Linked DNA regions of Lepisosteus oculatus. The protein of the gene in region 1 purifies or fractionates together with the protein of each later gene. This does not show direct contact. Links are inferred from orthologs where the notes say so. Each region holds a gene or a part of one and is shown on either strand. Other genes may lie near its edges.

Evidence for each region.
Region 2: the proteins of ccny (region 1) and cdk14 purify together in Homo sapiens (affinity purification with western blotting; 3 studies listed by BioGRID and IntAct, with this or other methods). This does not show direct contact. The link is inferred for Lepisosteus oculatus from reciprocal best matches to the Homo sapiens genes CCNY and CDK14.

Annotation. Positions count from the first base shown.
Region 1 is NC_090701.1:38,336,590-38,346,018, forward strand, and holds the start of ccny (cyclin-Y), read right to left. Parts: upstream 4,016-9,429; 5' UTR 3,502-4,015; coding exon 3,348-3,501; intron 1-3,347. UniProt on the Homo sapiens protein: Positive regulatory subunit of the cyclin-dependent kinases CDK14/PFTK1 and CDK16.
Region 2 is NC_090705.1:5,601,211-5,610,467, reverse strand, and holds the start of cdk14 (cyclin-dependent kinase 14), read left to right. Parts: upstream 1-4,830; 5' UTR 4,831-5,254; coding exon 5,255-5,348; intron 5,349-9,257. UniProt on the Homo sapiens protein: Serine/threonine-protein kinase involved in the control of the eukaryotic cell cycle, whose activity is controlled by an associated cyclin.

The DNA.
Region 1 (9,429 bases):
ATGTTCATAGTTTTACCTGCTGAACAGTAAAAAGGGCTGTATTTCAGACTGGGATTCCCATATATAAGAAAGTGTTCTTTTAACCAAGGCTTTCATGGTAAACACAGACAAACATTATCAGATTCTTGGCACGGCCAGTGGTTTTATAAACTTGCCTTTTTTCTGATTAAAGATTCTGTTATTGGAACTGGGACTTCTTGCTCCCCAATCTCACTGACAATGCAAGTGCTAATTCCATGCTGTGATTCATCCCTTCCCTGCTTCATTCCATTAAAATCCAGCTGCGCTCAGCCCTGTGCAAGAAAGCCACAGATCAGGCTAGTACAATTCCTCAAAAAAATGCTAAATGTTAAGTGTTCCGGTGATAAGCATCTTGCTATCTAATCTTATGGTCTTTGCTAAAGGGCTAAAACTGTCCTTTTAAGTTATGTGTACCGAAGCGGTTTTATCTAAAGGCAGCTTCAGTTTGAAATGACATCAAGAATGTTTTGTATGTGTCATGTGGCACTTGTTTCTCATGCAACTGCTAAAGCTATATAACAAGAAGTAGGAAGAACGTCTTAAGGAATACATGGTGGCATGGAAAGCACAGCTCGATTTACACAGAAAAAAAACTTTGGGAAGGAGCCAGATTCAGTTCACTGTAGAAGTCGAAATGATTAAATTGATCAAAATGAAAAAAAATCAAATGTGCTTGGTTGTTGAGTGACTCAACAAACTATGAAAAGGCGGTTGCTGCAGGTGGAGCACTATGACCCAGAGGTCTCAGGCTAGAACCCGAGTCTGTAGCCTGCTGCTTAGGAAACCCCAGCTTACTGACTGGGATTCCCCTTGCAGCTGCTTGGAGTTAGTAAAGTATCGCCAGAGCAAGGCAGACAGCAATCAGTAAGGGCTCTCTCAGCTTTCCATCAAAGGCCAGCTTTCTGAGCACCCGGATGTGATGTCAGAGAGAAACCCACCCCTCATCCAGTCAGTACTAACTCTCCCGTCAGGCACCACTGAGCCTGCAGAGTGACCAAAGAGCAGCGTCTCAATAGGAGGGCAGGTCAGACTGAGGCTTGTCCCTCAGTCCTCATTCTCTCCTTCAGCAGTACTGGAGTCGCTGCTGTGAGCCGAGACAAAGAAACATTTGGCGAAAGCAAATTGGGTGTGGAAAGAAAATCAAAACTAGGAAAAAAATTGTTCAAATAAAAAAAATATTTCCCCCTTGCATCGCTAATCATACAATACAAACTGGAAGTAATGTTTCACTGAGTTAATTTTGAACTTTATGCTGCAAATATTGATTGCTATGCGATTGTCAAAATTTTCTTTCAGTTTATAAACCATTTAAAGCCCAAGTAACTAATATTACAGTACCTCAATGTTTATTTAGTAAGGTTTAAAATGAAAAGCACACAAAGTAATACGAAGGGTAATAACTTAATTCACTCTGATTTACCTGTTCTAACTATATTAAATGTTAAACATCTTTTTGCAATGTTTAGAAAATGTACCTCAGAGGTTTCCTAGTGAAGCTATAAGGGAGGTGTCTAATAGTGATGATTTGTTCTAGGATCTGCTGTCCTAGAATACAACAAGGATAGTGTGACAGGCCAGTTACTTGTCTAGAATGGCACCAGTACTGAAAGGACAAGCTTATAGACAAGTTCCAAAAAAGAAATTAAAAATTTTATTTAGTTTATAAAATGGGAAAGCCACCAATACAATAGCCGCTTTTAAATTATATGCCTTTTAACTTTCTATGTTTTGGGAATCACCAAGAAATATTTAGTGCTTGCTTAGGCGTATTACTAAGTAGTAAAATTCTACAAGAACTGAGTAGTAAAATTCATGGAAAAAAAATATTTGCCGACTTCTGTAATTGGGATTAACCTGGAAAGTTGTTTTTACATGATAAAATGGTAAAATACGTGCAGTAACAGTGATTCGTGCAATTCATTATGCTGTTTTTTTGTCAGTCTTCAGATCAATTGAAGCTATAAAACTGTTTAACATTAATATATCTCATTGCAGTACTGTATTTCTCTGTAAAAGACGTGCCTTCTGATTTTAAAGAGTATTTTCATAAAGGAACTTTCACTGCTGCACTAGTGAGTTTATCATAGCCTCGTTAGCCTGTAAATGCTACTTAAAAATCCGGAGGTAATCAGGGTTTATTATCGCTTTTAACAAATGATTTCATTCTTCTGACTTTTACAAAGCAATTAAGCACAGTGCCCATAATAGGCTACGAACACTAATACTGTGGTTTTGTAACCAAATTTAGAAGAGTGTTTTAATTAACATGTAGTTCTTTTACGGATCTTACAAGACTGAATGAAGATTAAAATCATTACACACAGCAGTACAGTCATGGGAGTGCCCTGAAGTCGCAGTTTAAATTAACCTTTAGGGTATCGGCTGTTCAAGGAACATTTAGCTACAGAATAAAACAATAAACGGCCTTATGCCATAACGTATTTATAAACAATCCAATCTGAATGAAGTAAATAATGTTTAGATTACACACACCTTAAGAAGTTAAATGCAATCAGATCAGAAACTACCCACAGTACAACCGGCTGGACGCTGGGCTCTCACCAAAAAGACCCAGGAGAACCCGGGGACCCGCCCGCAAACATGGTTTGAACTAGGTCCACAACAACAAATTATCGATTCCTCTTATTGGAAAAAAAAAGTTTTAACAGATCAAGGCTCTTCGTTGTAAAGTCACTCGCGGTAGGGAACATTTCACGACAAAACCATGTAATAACTGATTTATGAACGTGAAACAAACATATGGAGAGGTAGTGTGTATGTTTGGTAGATGGATAACAATATAAAACCCCAAACACCGCTATGTAAATAACTAAGTACATCAAACAATGAACAACCTTTATTATTTAGAAGCGCCGATACCTTAAAAAAACAAGATGCAATAAAATTCATGCTCACAGCGGGATGACAACATTGAGGAGCCAACCTAATCGACTTGTCAGTCTGTGTCAAAGCTCCTGTCGCTTGTTTGCAAAACACAAGGGCCACCCAAAAAATAAATCACAATTTCTACTCGCTTGTACAGATACAAATGACAACAAGCACGATCCCGATTAATAGTCATACGATTCTCGAGCTTTTGAGCATCTTCACGGTTTCAATTCTTACAACTTAAGAATTAAAAAATAATTTCAAGAATCTTCAGCAATTGCGAACCTCGCAGCACTGTAACTAGTCCTCTTTTTTTTCACAAAATATATGCCGAACAAAAAGGAGGGGCTTTGGATTTACGAAATCGACGTTGGTTTTAGCGGTCCTGGATTTTTTTTTCCTTCACGTTAGACATGGTGATTTATCTGCCGTCTTACCGTCGATATTCTCCCTGTCGCTGATGTGCTGAAGGTTGCAGCCCGTGTCTTCTCGGCTGAGCTCGGGCTCCGGGCGGTAGGACTCCAGCCTGGAGTGAGCGTTTCTCCGGAGCTTGGGGCTGGAGGACACGCAGCAGGACGTCGTGTTCCCCATTTTTAGGGTTGTTTTTTAATATACTCAGTGCTCTTCAGCTTTGCTTGGCAGCACAGACCGAAGCTGGTCTTGAAAGAGAAGGCTAGGGCGCCGAGGGTGGAACTGCAACACCAGAATATCCGATCAGTTATACACCCTCGTCCGGTCCTAGCTAGCAGCAGCAGCAGCAGCAGCAATAATGCAAAGCCATTTGCGAACAGAAAAAAGAGCAAGAAATCGGAGAAAGGTTTGAAACCCTCTCCCTTTTCTTTCTGCCCGCCTGATATTTTAAGCAGGCACTGAAATCTGCACAACCCACGCAGCAGTCTGGTTTACTTGTCGTGATTGATCTAAATAAACAAAACGAAAGGGGGTCTGCTGTTATCCCCTCGTCATTTTAAACCCATTAACAGGGGCATGTAAACTGAGGATGTTAGCGAAACATTGCAAGCGTCGCGGCTCCTGCTGTCAGTGTACATAGCAAACAGAGGCAACACAGTCGAAGCAGTTTGATTGAAAAGGTTCCGGTTCAAGTGGGTGGTAACGCTTCTGCAAAATTCGCTGCTGGGAGCCTAAAAATGTGTTGGACAGGAAAGAATGGAGGGCTCAAGCGTAATATGTAGTTTTTCTCCTGGAAATGAAGTTTTTCTCTTGTCGTAACTGCGTTTATTATTAAAATAGCTGTACTCATTTCGTATTTTGTAAATTAAGTAAATATAAGAACGGTTGTATGTTACACGTAATTTACTGTACACCACAGAAAGGTGTTGTTATCTGTTTTATATGAATACAAATGTTTCTTTTTGTTTTAGCTTTTTGTAAGTATGTTTGGCGCTAGGATAAAAAATGATTAAAACCTAGAAATTATAATGTTGGAAAGGTCTCTAAAAAGATATCTCGGATTATTTAAAAAAACGGTTTGGTCCCATTTCCTGCTGCCCAAATATTAGTAATTTTATTATTCCAGTAATCAAAGTAAATTGTGCCAATAAATAAAAAGACAGAAAAAGAGAAAGGAAATCCTTATTTATTAGCATATAAATGATGTCTATGGACATCACATACTCTTCACTTGGTGTTAAGTATTAATTTCTATCACATGTGGGAAAGCTGTAATAATTGAATAGATATTAGCTTAACCCGTCTGCTATCTGCGTGCTTGTTCACCCACAGACTGGGAGATCGTCAGTCTTACAATAGTTCTTTTTCCTACTGTAACACATTTTAGAGAAATTCAGATTTCTCTGCAGATAATGTTTACATGGTAAATGTCACATTTGTGTGACTTTGATAAAGATCAGTATAACACAAAAACTAAGAATTGCCTTTGCTTTGTTTTTGAGTGGTTTAAGGAACTTGCAAGAAATGTGTTTTGGGAATCACATAAAAAAACTACTAAGGAAAGTTCAGCAGTAGTTACGTTCCAATTACTATTACTAACATGTCAGCCATTAACTGCATATCAGATACACTTTTCACATGAAGCAAGTTTTTGTTTCTCAGTATCAGTTATGTTTCGTAATGTTGTGCAATGTTTTTTTATATGTCAGGGTCTGTTTCAAGTCCATTTGTGTTTTCTGTTTCAAATGTTTTGCAGTTCATTTTTATTTTCTACCTTCAAATAACAACCTTTAATATCAAGAGGATGTTATTTTAATGCACGTATATGAGAGTAGATTCAGCCTGAAGTGTTGACAAACAAGCTATTTGGATTCAATGGAAATCAGAGAAGGATACTGGGGGCCATTTCCTCTAAGTAGCTGTGTGAGGATTTGTTTAAAATTAGAGAGACCCAAACAAGCCTTACTTTACTCATTTCACAAACTACGAATTTGTGTTTCACTTTTTAAGTAACATTTTTTATTCATGTGGCCTTCAAAATTACATATATTTTTCTGTACATATCATGCTACAGTAGTGTACATCAGTAAAGTACTCAGCTAGTAAAGATCTTTTGAATATAAGGGTCCTAATCAGGGCTATGACTCTGTGTGGGTTGTAATTTGTGAAGGTTAGCTCAAGTCACTGAGGCCCTGGGTTCAACTCCAAACCTAGGGTGCTATTTGTTTGGAGTTAGTACATTCTCCACATGTTCGCGTGGGTTTCCTCCGGATGCTTCAGTTCCCTCCCAAAATCCAAAGACACACTGGTAAGTTTATTTGCTGCTGGGAATGTTGGCCCTGGTGCGAGTGTGTGTTTGTATATGTCTGTCCTACGATGGACTGGTGTCCCATACAGGGTGTACCCTGCCCTGCGCCCATTGCTTGCCAGGATAAGCTCCAGCTCCCCCGTGACCCTAAATTGGATGAAACGGTTAGGAAACGCATGGACAGAAGGAATTTGCCTCACAACAGTGTCCTGCATGGCAGAGAGAAGACAGCTCTAGAAATGAGACAGTGAAATCCTCAGCCTCACTTGCTACTGTCATGTTCTTTTCTGTATTTATGGGATTCCTAACATGGGCAGCATAACAGACACAATGCCCTCTGCTAAAACAGATAAAGACTGATGTGCCTTCATGCTGACTGTGACACCTTGAGGAGCTCCGATTACTAGTAAGGGCTTGTTATCTAGTTGAGAGATGAAAGGTCACCTATGTAGGTCTGTAGCAAAGATGGCAGAACTGCCCTGACATGACACAGCCATTGTTTATTATGTATGCAGGTCTGCATTACAAAATGAAATAGGATGTAAATCCAATTTGATTCAGAAATGTTTTTTTCATAGTGTGTTTACAGACGCATTTTCAAATTCTTGCTGATGATAATGATCAGGAATCTACAAATGATTCGGCAGCATTGTCAGTAGTTAGCAGTAAGGGGGGTTATTTATTAATAGGGGTTTTATCTAGTCAGCTACACATCACCTTGTTATTCATTCGATATCCTATCCACGAAATATCACATTAGTCTCTCTTCAGTTACTGTAAAGAGTGAATTAAGAACTGACTTGACAGGTCACAAAAGTACTGAGCTGCTCTCTTTTTACTTGATTGGAATCTAAGTTAGTTGTTAGGTTTGATTTTCTAAGGTCTTTCCACAAGCTGTTGGGTTGCACACATCTATTGTGGTTATGTCATCTTTAGCTTTGCGGGACTCCTCCTTCTGTCTCCTTTTTCCTCTTTCATTATGCTGTGCAGTGGAGAAAGGTAACGTTAAAAATACAAATGCAGTTATTTACATATACCTAAACTAGAACTATTCGGTAGTTGTTTGATCAAAGTGAAATATTTAAACATAAGGTGAAAATGACAGCTCTCTACACTGGCATGTTGAGCAGCCTTGAAAATGAATGAAACCCAACCATAACCTGCTACCTCATCAACTGAATACACCTCTTCAGCACTAATAACACAAGAAAGGTTGCAAATAAGAGGAGGACCTTCTGCCCATGTAGCCCATTTGGAGTTTAGTAGCTAATTCATCTAAAGATTGTATCCAGCTGATTCTTGAAACAAGCCAGGGTATCCATTTGAACAAAATGGCTGAGCAGACGGTTCCATACTTACATAACCTTTTGGGTAAAGAAATATTTTATTTTCTCAAATCTAAATACACTTTTGTCTAGTTTTCTGTTGAGACCTTTTCTAACCCGTTTCATCCATTTCAGGGTCATTAAAGAGCCAGAGGCTATCTTGACAAGAGATGGAAGTAAGGCAGAGTATTCCCTGGACAGGATGGCAACCCACTGAACTAAGCAGGTGTGAGCCTGGTCAGTACCTGGATGGAAGACCAACTGGGAAAGCTAAGGTTGCTGCCTGGAAGAGGTGTTAGTGGGGCCAGCAGGGGGCGCTCACCGTGCAGTCTGTGTGGGTCCTAACACCCCAGTATAGTGACATTATACTTTAAAAAGGCGCCATCCTTCGCATGAGACGTAAAACCGAGGTCCTGGCTCTCTTTGGTCATTACAAATCCCAGGATGTTTCGCGAGAAGAGTAGGGGTGTAGCCCTGGCATCTGGGCCAAATTTCACATTGGCTTTTAATCAGTCATGGCCATGATTAAACCTGTGATTTGGCTTCAACACTCAGCTCTCCTCACCAACGATAGCTGATGTGTGGTGAGTATACTGGCGCACTATGACTGTCGCATCATCCAGGTGCATGCTGCACATTGGTGGTAGTGGAGGGGAGTCCCCGTTACCTGTAAAGCGCTTTGAGTGGAGTGTCCAGAAAAGCACTATGTAAGTGTAAGCAATTATTAATTATTATTATTATTATTATTCAACTCACACAAACAGAGGGAGAACATACAAACTCCACACAGATAGTACTCCAGGCCTGAAATTGACCTCAGGGTCCTAACACTGTGAGGCAACAGTGCTAACCACTGTGCCACTATGCCTCCACACTTTCTATTACGTATCTAAACATCGGTTGCCCCTTTACTTTTTCAGTACATTGATTAAAAGATGTTAATGATCAGGCAACACAAACCAAAGTGTTTTTCACTAGTAGCCTCTTCAAGGGAAGAGCAACACAACCCTCTGCAGCTCCTTCTGTCCTTGCTGTGGGTGCTGCAGGTGGGCAGTGTGTATGAATGACAGAATCTAGGAGTATTAGAACTTGTGTCACACAGCTGGGAGCCTTCAGTTGTTGAGGTACCACTTTGTATGATTACAGGTTGCCCTGGAGAGTAAATGTGATTTAGAGCTAACCTGTAACTTTAGATGCCATTCCACAGCAGTTAAGGACTGTGTTGAGTCAGGCCCCTTCTGCCTTCTGTATTTACTGAAGTGTGTCACCGTTCCAGTCTTTTTAAGTGCTTGTTTTATGTGTTGGTCACTAATGGACTTGATGAATTGTTCTCTGGTCAGGTCAAAATATATATACACTGTGGTGCAAAACAATAAAGGCATTTTTTCCTATACAGGGTGGCAGTGAGCTGGTGCCTAATTCAGCAGGCACTGGGCTCCTAGCACAGGATACATAGACATAATGAAGACTCCTTAAAGATGCCAGTTAACATAAACAGTATGTATTTTGATAGTGGGAGAAAACCAGAGAAGGAGAGCATGCAAACTCCACAAAAAAATCAAACCAGGACTCAAGAGCTATAAAGCAGCAGTGCTAAATGCCATGCCACTGTATCAACCTAATTTAAAAGATGAACTATTTAAATATATCATGATAAATGACCTTTGGTGAGCTTTCTAATGAACCTTTGTACATCAGAAAGGTCACCAAAGAGAGGTCATTAGGCCTAATGCGTTTGTTTGATTGTCTGTATTCCGGGAATAAGATACTAGTTGTGGTGGCTGTCCTCTAGAACACCTGAAATCTCCTTGAACCATAATCAGAAAGGGAGAACTTAGAATAGTCAATGAAACTTAACATACATGTGCAATGATGTGGTATATCCCGAAGGCTACAATGCCCTGACACCTGGTCTTATTCCAAGTGTTGGGCTCAGCAATGAAGATGAGAACAGAGAAAACACAGTCCAGGCTCTATAGGGAAGTTCCAGAAATCATGATCGAGCTAGAAGGGTTCATAGCCAGGAAGACATGAGGAGACACCCCAGGCTAGTCCAGATTCATGGTCAGGAAAACCTAGCAAAGGTCAGTACAAAGTAAGCAAAGTAAAGAGCAAACAAAGTGAGAGACAGATCACTAGCAGAGCAAGCCAGGTCATCACTGACAAGGTGCAAACTCCAATGACTGAACACCGAGCAAGACCTCAACATGTGTTTGTTGTTTTGTCTCCTCAAATCTCCACTCAGACAGGTACCCCAGATGAGAATTATGCCCAGGACCCTTAAGCTGAGAGGCATTAGTGCCAACTACTCCACCGACCATATGCACTGCCCTGAGTGAAGCGTAGTTCAGGACCCTATGCAGATGGTGTAATCTGGAAGTTAATGGAGAAGGGCAAGTTAATGAAAAGGTACAACAGGATTAATACGGGTTGACAGACATGTTGGCGTGACGATGGTGACCTCGGGGGGTGTGG
Region 2 (9,257 bases), on another chromosome or scaffold:
ACATTCATTCAGCTGACGTTATCTGCAGTTTCACCAAAAGTCTTATTCAAGCTTGAGCTCTTAACGAGCTCGCAGACAATGCATTTCATTGCCGACAACACAAGACAATCGTATTCTGTACTGCTTATGCATTGATAAATAAACCTTGATTGGTTGATTGATTGTGGGAAGAACATCTTTACACAAAGGCTTGTGGGAGTGTGGAACAAGTAACGCAGCCATACTGTATGAGTTGTCAAAGTTGATGCTCTGGCTTCTTTCTCAAAATCGCTGGATGGGATTTTCAGATCAATTACCAGTTAGCAATTAAATGAGCTTGCTGTTCCAATTATGACCCTCATAGCTGTTGTTCCCAGACTCATATAGGATAATAGGTTGCCCTAATATTATTATTATTATTATTATTATTATTATTATTATTATTATTATTATTATTATTATTATTCATAGGTTGCCCTAGTCCTCCTAAGGAGTACAACAGCCCTAAGTGAAGACAATCGTATTGCACCCAACTTGGCAGTAGCTGTTAAGGTCTTAGCTAACCCATTTCTGTTCTATAAACAAGACATCAATGTACAGTGCCTGCGCTGCCCTGCAGCATGCATTTATCCACATAGTTTGGTTAAAAGTTTCAATTTGTGCTCAGTGTCAAAATTGGTGGATGGCAAAAACAGCCCATTGCTTAGTCTTTTAACATACTGTATGCCAAAAAAGTCTTAGAAATTCTCATTGAAATTTGTGAGCCATCTTTGCCCTGGCAATGTAATTCTGTTGAACACATGGTCTGTAATCAGTTTGGTTGTGCTGCATCTGCATGAGGAGGTAGACTTTCAGGCTGGTATTTGTAAACAGCTGGATTACCACTAGCAATGCAGGCAAGCCCCAATATCATTTTAAATACCAAACATAAAGAACCACCTAATCTCTCAAACCCATACATAGTGTCCTCCTGATTTATTCATGTCCACCTATTCATTCAGTGGAATAGGAAGAAAAAATACATCATACGGTGTGTATATATAATGTATCATATAGTAAAGATTTATGGCTAGGATAATGTCTCTTTCTGGAAAAAGTAAAAAAAATTCTTAATGTAGTCTTAATATCATTGTACAGAGCAAAGTCATATTTGTCCTAGATAAATGTCCAGAAAACACAAGGATCATATATATTTTCACCTAAGTATTTTGTAAATCCTCCTCTGGCAGGGATTACACCTCTAGTAGGTGTGTGAGCCTCTGGCATTTCTGACGGGGGATTTTTTACCATTATTTAAGGAAGAATTGCTCTTATTCCTTCAGACACTTTGGCTCCCGTTGCTAAACTGCTTTCTTGAGTTCAGACCATCATGTTCTATTAAATTGATGTGTGAGATTGCAATGGCCAGCTGAGAACATTTATTTTGCATTCAGTTAAAGATTTCTTTGTTGATTTAGATGTATGCCTTGGATCATTGTCATGCTAGAATGCCTATTTGTTGACAGAAGGAAACAGGTGTTATCAAATATCTTGGGACATGTTGGAGTTCATGATTCCAGGGCCTGTAAATACAAAACAATCACAAAACATAACAGACCCCACATTTCACAATGGGCATGGATATTTTCTCAGAATGATCTTAACTTTTTTTCACAATGCTGACAAGCATGTCAAAACATCTGACTTTTCATGATAATCTGTCTATAAGACTTCATAAAATTTCATCTGGGGTATGAATATATCTGGAAGGCATTGTATGTGCCAGTTGAAGTACACTGCTGTTTATCAATTGGTTTTCTTATTTAAAACCACACAGGCTGAACACAGCTATGAAAACAATACTCGGAGACATGCAGTACTACCAAGACATGGAATTACGAGGTAGAGTTTGATTACTGTACAGCACATCTAAAGCTAATACATTATCCAAAATGTGAATATTGTATCCCAAGGCCCCAAAGTTTTATATTGCAAATATGTGGAGATGCTCTGCAGTGTGATGAGAATGTGATGTGAAACTCAGCAGCACAGTGATTTGCACAACCTCCCGTGAGGACTCTATTTAAGGCAGTGAGTGGAATAAATTAAGCCTCCTTTACCAGCAAGGGCTCTCCTATGACTGTGAACTCACCTACAGTCATGACAACAAAAACGTTCTACTGAAAGACTTTTGTTTACATATTATAATGTCAAGCTCCAAACCAAAGATTTATGATGTTGCCATTTCTATATAATACATTAGCAGAAGAATGACAGCAAGTCCAAAAAAAAAAGCAATCACTAGTGAGTCAAGATAGAGGTTAAAAGAGTGATCCATGACATGAAGAAACATGGTGTACATAATACGTGTGACTTTTTGCCAAAACCATTTACTGTGTGGTCTGAGCACTCAGGCACAAGCCCCCTCGAGACCTAAGAACAGAAAAAATTGTCATCAAGGAGAAAGAAGTTGTTAATGCACATTACAAGAAGTGTTTTGAGTGCCTCCTCAGTCAAGACTTTGTCGAGATGAGCCTTAATGCAGGAAGGAAGTTGATTAAGTGGATGAAGAACAAAAAGACTTTTGGAGCTGATGCAGACCTTGCCAAAGCCTTCAAGCAGTGGGAGGTGCTCACAGCAGAGTCCCAAGCCTTTGTGCTGTGGATCGAGGATGATGAGAAAAGCCCCAGTGACCCTGTAGGATGCCTTGATGATGATAGTTTGGAGGACAGGCTACACACCTGACAATGGAAATCAGCTTGCTGTCTCATTGCGAGAACCCTCCAGATTTGTCTCCTTTCGCTTACTGAAGAGCTTCTCCCAGAATCCCATTGTAGGTGCAGTCGACTAAGAGGCACAACTGACATGATCTTCAGTGCTTACATGCTACAGGACAATGTTGAGGACAAAACAAACTCTATTCATGGCATCCTTTGACTCTTTCAACTCAGAAGCACTTTGGAAGATCATATTAAAGAGATTGAAGCCATTAATGCAGAAATTAATCATTGTTCTCCACCTGTTTCAAGATGATAATAGTTTGGAAGATACGGTAGGAGACATGCCTGACAATGATGCATGCCTGAGCATGAGCAATTATTCTGATTTGTGAATTACTGTACAAGCGCCACTGATGTTATGACAGGAGTCAACCCTAACATTTCTTTTAATATTCCTTAATAAAAGTTAAATTACTGTAAGGTAGGGAATTTAACCTCCTGCGACTGTTTCAGAACAGAGAATAAGAAGCCTACAGCCCTGGCAATTTAGATTTGCTAGGAGACTCTGTTGAACACGTAGCATTTCCTGTGACTTGAACTTGGGGAACATCAGACCGGCTGATATCGATTAAGAGGATCAACATCGCCACAAATATGCAAATTCAGCCTTTGGCTGCATGTACACGCAACTGCTCCCAGACTGTGTCCTCAGCTAAACCAAGCTCAACCCCTGCTGTATCAAGCAGTTGTGATTCCCATCTGCCTTAATGAAACTAAGACATGGACAACAGACAGGAGACACCTCAAGGTGCCAGTGTATTACCAGCACTGCTTGTGAAAGACCTTTCATATGTAAAGAGTTGGTACTGTATGTTATCCTTTTTTTACCTCCCTGCTATGGAAAGTTGTACCAAATTTCACTTTGCTCACATATCATCTAGTAAAAGGAAGGTAAAGAAAATGATGAACCGCACATTATGCATCACAGGTTCTGGTGTAATTCAGAATGACAGGCGATTGGAAAGGTGCTCTTCTTTATGAGGGGCTGTGAAGATGACCTTTATTTCATCTCCCGGTTCTTTTTTTCCAGCATGAAGGGCCCTTGTAAAGACTTCAAACAAGGGGAGAGATGTGATTTTTAAATGAAAGTCGTTCTTTGCAAGCAAAGAATGAGGACTCATTAGAGTACAGAGCTACGGTTTTAGCACTATCATCATTTCAGAGCAAATTAAAGAATAAGAAATTACATTTTACAGCCAACCTGTCACCTAAATGTTTAGAATCAATAATAAGCAATGTTAAACGTAATACATTAAGTTTATAATCCATTTTAAAACCACTAACTTTTCAAATCCCAACCCCCATTGTCTAAATTTAAAATATGTCCTTAAAATAAGATCTTGCAAGACATTGTAAAGGGTTAATAATAAAGTGATGTTATCTACTGTATAGGCACACAAGACTTTTAACACGGTTCGTGCAAGACCGTCAGATTAAGATTCATATTTAGTATAAAAGTAAAATTAGACTATGAAACCCTTCATTTCTTCTCGTGTATTTCATATTTAAAGATGCTGCAATTCCATAAATACCGAAACTAAATTTCTGTATTGTCACAATTCCAACTTTAATGATTATTTATACAGACTACAATGCATGAAATAAAATTACTTAATATAAACCCACTTGAAAAGTACCCTGGGCGTGCTGGAATGCGGGATGGAACTAGAGGCTGATAAAAGAGCTGAAACTTTTATTTGCAAATGTACAACTGGCCTTCTTTGATAGAAAACCCGGATTTGTAAGTGACCAAAGCTCGTTCGCTCAACATTAATATACAGCATTACTAATAGTTTTATAAAGATTAAAGCCTTTCACTGTTATTTCAAAGTATAATCAAAACACAAACAAAAAGAGAAACATAAAGAGACGATGCAAAGTGTCCTGCAATTATTATTAAGGGACGCATTTTTTTTCTCGTCTAAAAACCCTGTAAGAAACTTTGTGGGTTTAAAGCACGCAGCTCGAATCGGAGCGATGACTGACCTTACAGTCGTTACTTTCTGATTGAAGGGACCGATAGTGTATCACAACCCAGATTGACTGCAGTTGACCAATCATGGGCTGGCAGAGGTGGGATTTTTCCCCTCTTTTACTCCCCCTCCCGAAAAGAGAATCCCGAAAATGACATCCAGACTGAGAGAAAAACAGTGAAAGCAAAGAGAGTGAGAAATTGACACAGACCTGCGGAAGACGTGTTTTTTTTTTTAAAAAAGCACATCCTTTCTTGGGCACGTTGTAAAGTTTCAGTTCTTTTAAATCGCCAGCAGTGATGCTCTGCCTCAAGAAATGAAGTTCGCAAGTGCAAAAACCTGAAAGAAAAAAAAAAACTAGCGCAAGAAAATGCCTCTTTGAAAACGGGAGCTTCTCGCAGAGCACATTTCCTGGGTTTGACAGCATAGCAAAAGCGGAGACGCCGCTTGCTCGATTCCTCTTTGCCCCCGACGACTTTTCTTCCCAGGATCTCTGGTGTTGGACCTTTTCTTTTACCGACTCCGGTCCAACCGGGAATCGAAATGTGTGACTTCATGCCAGCCTCGCAGCCCGCTGAAAAAATCGGCAAAATGAAAAAGTTACGAAGAACTTTGTCGGAGAGTTTCAACCGAATAAGTAAGTAGAGTCGCCTGCCTGGTTTTTTTTTTGTTCAGCAAAGTATTGTTAGGGTCCTGGCTCGTATCTTTTAGCGATTGTCTTGAGTACAATGAGGGCTCTTTGTAGGACATTCCTTGAATTAAAACTGAGAAAGAGGTTGATAAAACACTTATCATTTGCGTTACTGAAATTCTCCGCACTACCGCACAATGCAGGTCCGATGCAACCGGGTCTGTGGACCGTAAATAGTTTAGATACCTTCATTCCGTAAAGGGGTATCAGTTTGTAGCTGACGTCTGGGCAGATACAGTACCTCTCAGGCTTTTATACACCAGCTTATTTATTTTTTTTTAAATGGGAGACTGTGGATGTCTTCTTTAGGTACTGTGCTTTGTCACCTGTGTGCATTAACGGAATGACCATCATTTGCCCGTGGTAGCGCGCTGAAAAATTGTAAAAGTTTCAAACCGACAACAAAACGCTCAGCTGGGAATCAACAGGACCCCTTTCTCGCTTTTAACAAAAATGTTAAACACCTTTAAGGATCCCAACAAGCGTGAAGAGTAGTTCAGAGATACCTTTGACCAGCTTTTATGCTAGGTACAGCTGCAGAGGACACCGGGCGTCACGATTAGCAAAACCTGGTAACCTGAGCTCATTGATAACGAGGTGGCCATTGGCCGCAGTAGACCTGGCTATGCTCTTAAAGCACCCGAGCTGCAGCTTCTTATCCCAGATAAGATTCCCCAATGAACTATAATTTCACAGACGAACACAGAAGAAATGCTCGAAAGCAGAACCGCGGGGTTTCTAAGGATTAGCAGAATGTTTTTGGGGGGGCGGGAGAAACAAATTCTGTCCTGGGGGAGTACAATACATGAACCTAGCTTGTAAAAGTCCAGTTGAAATCACCATTAGCGGCGCGTTTTGCATGAACACCGGTGTGCGCTTGGTGTCGCAGAAATTTGTTTTTGCACACACGCCGTGGCACGAAGCAATTGGGTTCTTGCAACACTGGGAATTAATGCCTCTGCGCACCGATTTAGTGTCAGTTTCACGTGGAAGATAAAACAAAGAGCATTACGTCATTGTTCTGAAAATCTTAAACCGCACAGTGTTGTTTAATGGGGACGCCTTGTAGGGATACTGTACACGAGTTTGTCCCTAGTGAAGTGAAGTCTAGTTGTTGTCTAATTGCAGTTAACTGTTGTTGGATTTGTACTTGCTGATTGAAGCGCTTAATTTAGAAATTCAAACTCAGTAAACCCCAGTCTTGTTCTCCCGTTGTCTGTAGCCACGAATGGTGCACGAACCTAAAGTCACTCTTTTCTTTCATTATCAGCTGCCGTTTACAGTCGTCATGAGACGACATTCACATCGAGATTTGTGACCGTTTTGAGTTTTGGAAAATCAAAACATGTTACTTTAGCTAGAGAACGACAGGGGACAATATTTGGCACGTTGCTTTTACTCTGCATTTCATGTCCAATGTCTGTGTCATTACGCTTTAATGTACACGTGATATCTCCATCATTAAACATTAAAATAGGCAACAGTTTAATAAAACGTGATTTTTGTATCTTTTTATTGGCACGGAGAGCGCCTAGCAATGATCATTACTGAAAAATACATCGAACTCGGGGAGAAATATGAGGTGTAGCCCTGATACAAGACCTCTAAGAATATTCACTGCAATGCAAATTGAATGTACACTAGACATGGGTCATGCTTACAATTGGTATGAAATATTAAAAGAAATTTCCATTTGCATTGTATTCCCAGGATATGAAGTATGTTGTAGAGAGGTTTACCTAGGTCCAAGGCTGCAGTGAATTATTAATGGCAGAATTAACAATGTGGTAAAACACACAGTAGTAGTATACAGCAATTACAATGCTGCATTTTAAGATCATGGGAAGAACTAAAAACAATAACAGCAAAAATGATCGTCTTTCTGAGTTTTTTAGAAATAGTAATTGTTTTATAAGCCCTGTACACACTGAAACGTTCTTACGATATTGTTTTGAGAGAATGTGAGGCAGTTCTTTCTTCCTGGATTGGTCTGATTGTGCATAAAGTTTTTAAAATAAAAAGGGATGCAAACTCTAGCAGGACTGAAAAGAATGCAAGTATCTTTTTTTTTTTTTACAAAATTACTACCTGTATAATTTATTATGCAACTGTTTAGTTTCCGATGTTTTTATTATGAGTTTTATAACATGATGATCTCTCTCTCTTAGGAACCATCAGCAAAGACAAGACAACAGTATGAATACTGTTTATGGCTCTCGGGGCAGTGTATTTGAACTTTTGCATTCGAAAATAAAAATATGAGAATTCTGGATTTTGTATACAGAATGTAATTCTTTTTCTTGTTCCTCTGATTTATCCTTGTGTTAACAGATCTAACTGGTGACATGTTTTTGGATGTCTTTTGTGGTAGCTCCATCACTTTGGAATGTTGAGGCTGACAGCTTATTCATTATGAAATGTTTTTTTTAATTGATTTTAAGGGAGAGCTGGCATCTGTATGTTTTGGTTGTAAGTCAAGGAGTAAGACTTTGGATGAATAAATATTTTTGCATTTGTTACAATAAGAAGTTTCTCAGAAAATGAACATTGCTAATAAAGAAAACCTAATTTACACTAAATGGAGCATCTCTCTGAGATCTATAAACATGTGGCATTACAACTTTATCATAGAATACGCGCATAAACAAATTAAAAGCCAATAGTATCTCTTTGCACATTATTATACAAAAGATGATTGTTATACCAAAACATTTAACAAAATTGTGGAGGAGACTATATTTCATACTGCACAACAATGCAATGTTTATAGTATTTTGAGTTGGTTTATGAAAACAATGAGCGATGTGGTTAAAACCCCTGTTAATCATTAACAAAATAATTCTTCTTGTTATGCTCTTAGCTTATTTGCCGTGTGTTGGGAAGGTCCTTACTGTAGATTATTTGGCCATTTTGATTTATTTAACATATAAAGATAAAGCAGTCTTCACACTTTTTTGAAACGCTGTTAACAATATTGAAGTTTTTCCAATATCAATGATTCCGGGTGTATTACCTTCATCAAGAGAGCGTTGTCATAATAAATTGTTATTCTTTTGGAGATGAGCAATTAGCTTTTCCTTTAAGCTGAAGGTGTCTGTGATATGCTTTATAAAGAGAGTACAATTTCATGGTTCAGTTAACAGGAGTATTGATTGTCCTGTAGTATAAAATAATGGCAACAAATAAACGCTGGCTTGAATGAAACCCTCACAAACACTAATGGGTTCCTGCACATTATGGACCAGCACCAGTCATATTATTTAAAAAGGCCATTAGAGCTGGCACACTAACACTACTGTGTTTATTTATATGTATATAATTTTGGATTTATTTAAATTTTAGAGTTTTGGACTTGTATAGATTTTAGAGCTTCACAGTAGCCAAAACATATTTCTGTTATTTTTTCCAAGATTTCCTTACATTTTTAATATTCTGTATGGCAGGATGATTGTTTTGTAGTCCATACACCTACTGTATAATGACCGAATACCATAATGAAGACTATCGACACATCTTGACAATGCTTCAAAAAATTCACCCATATATTTTTATAATCCCTTTGTGACATCTGAGAATTTTTAAACCGGTTTCAGCTCAATGCATTTTTGTAATCGTGAATGTGTCACATTATTGTTACTGCACAGAGAACTTGCAATTCCAAACTCAGCTGAACAGATTAATTTACAAAATAATAATAACAGCTATACCTATAAGAGTCTTACCAATGTTGCAATTTCAGCCTTGCGAAACATCATGAAACCTTACAAGATTTAAACATTAGCAGTGTTAAATCTGAATCTTAGCTTCATTTGGCAAATGTAGCTACTAAAATTTATTGTACTTCCATGGAAAGAT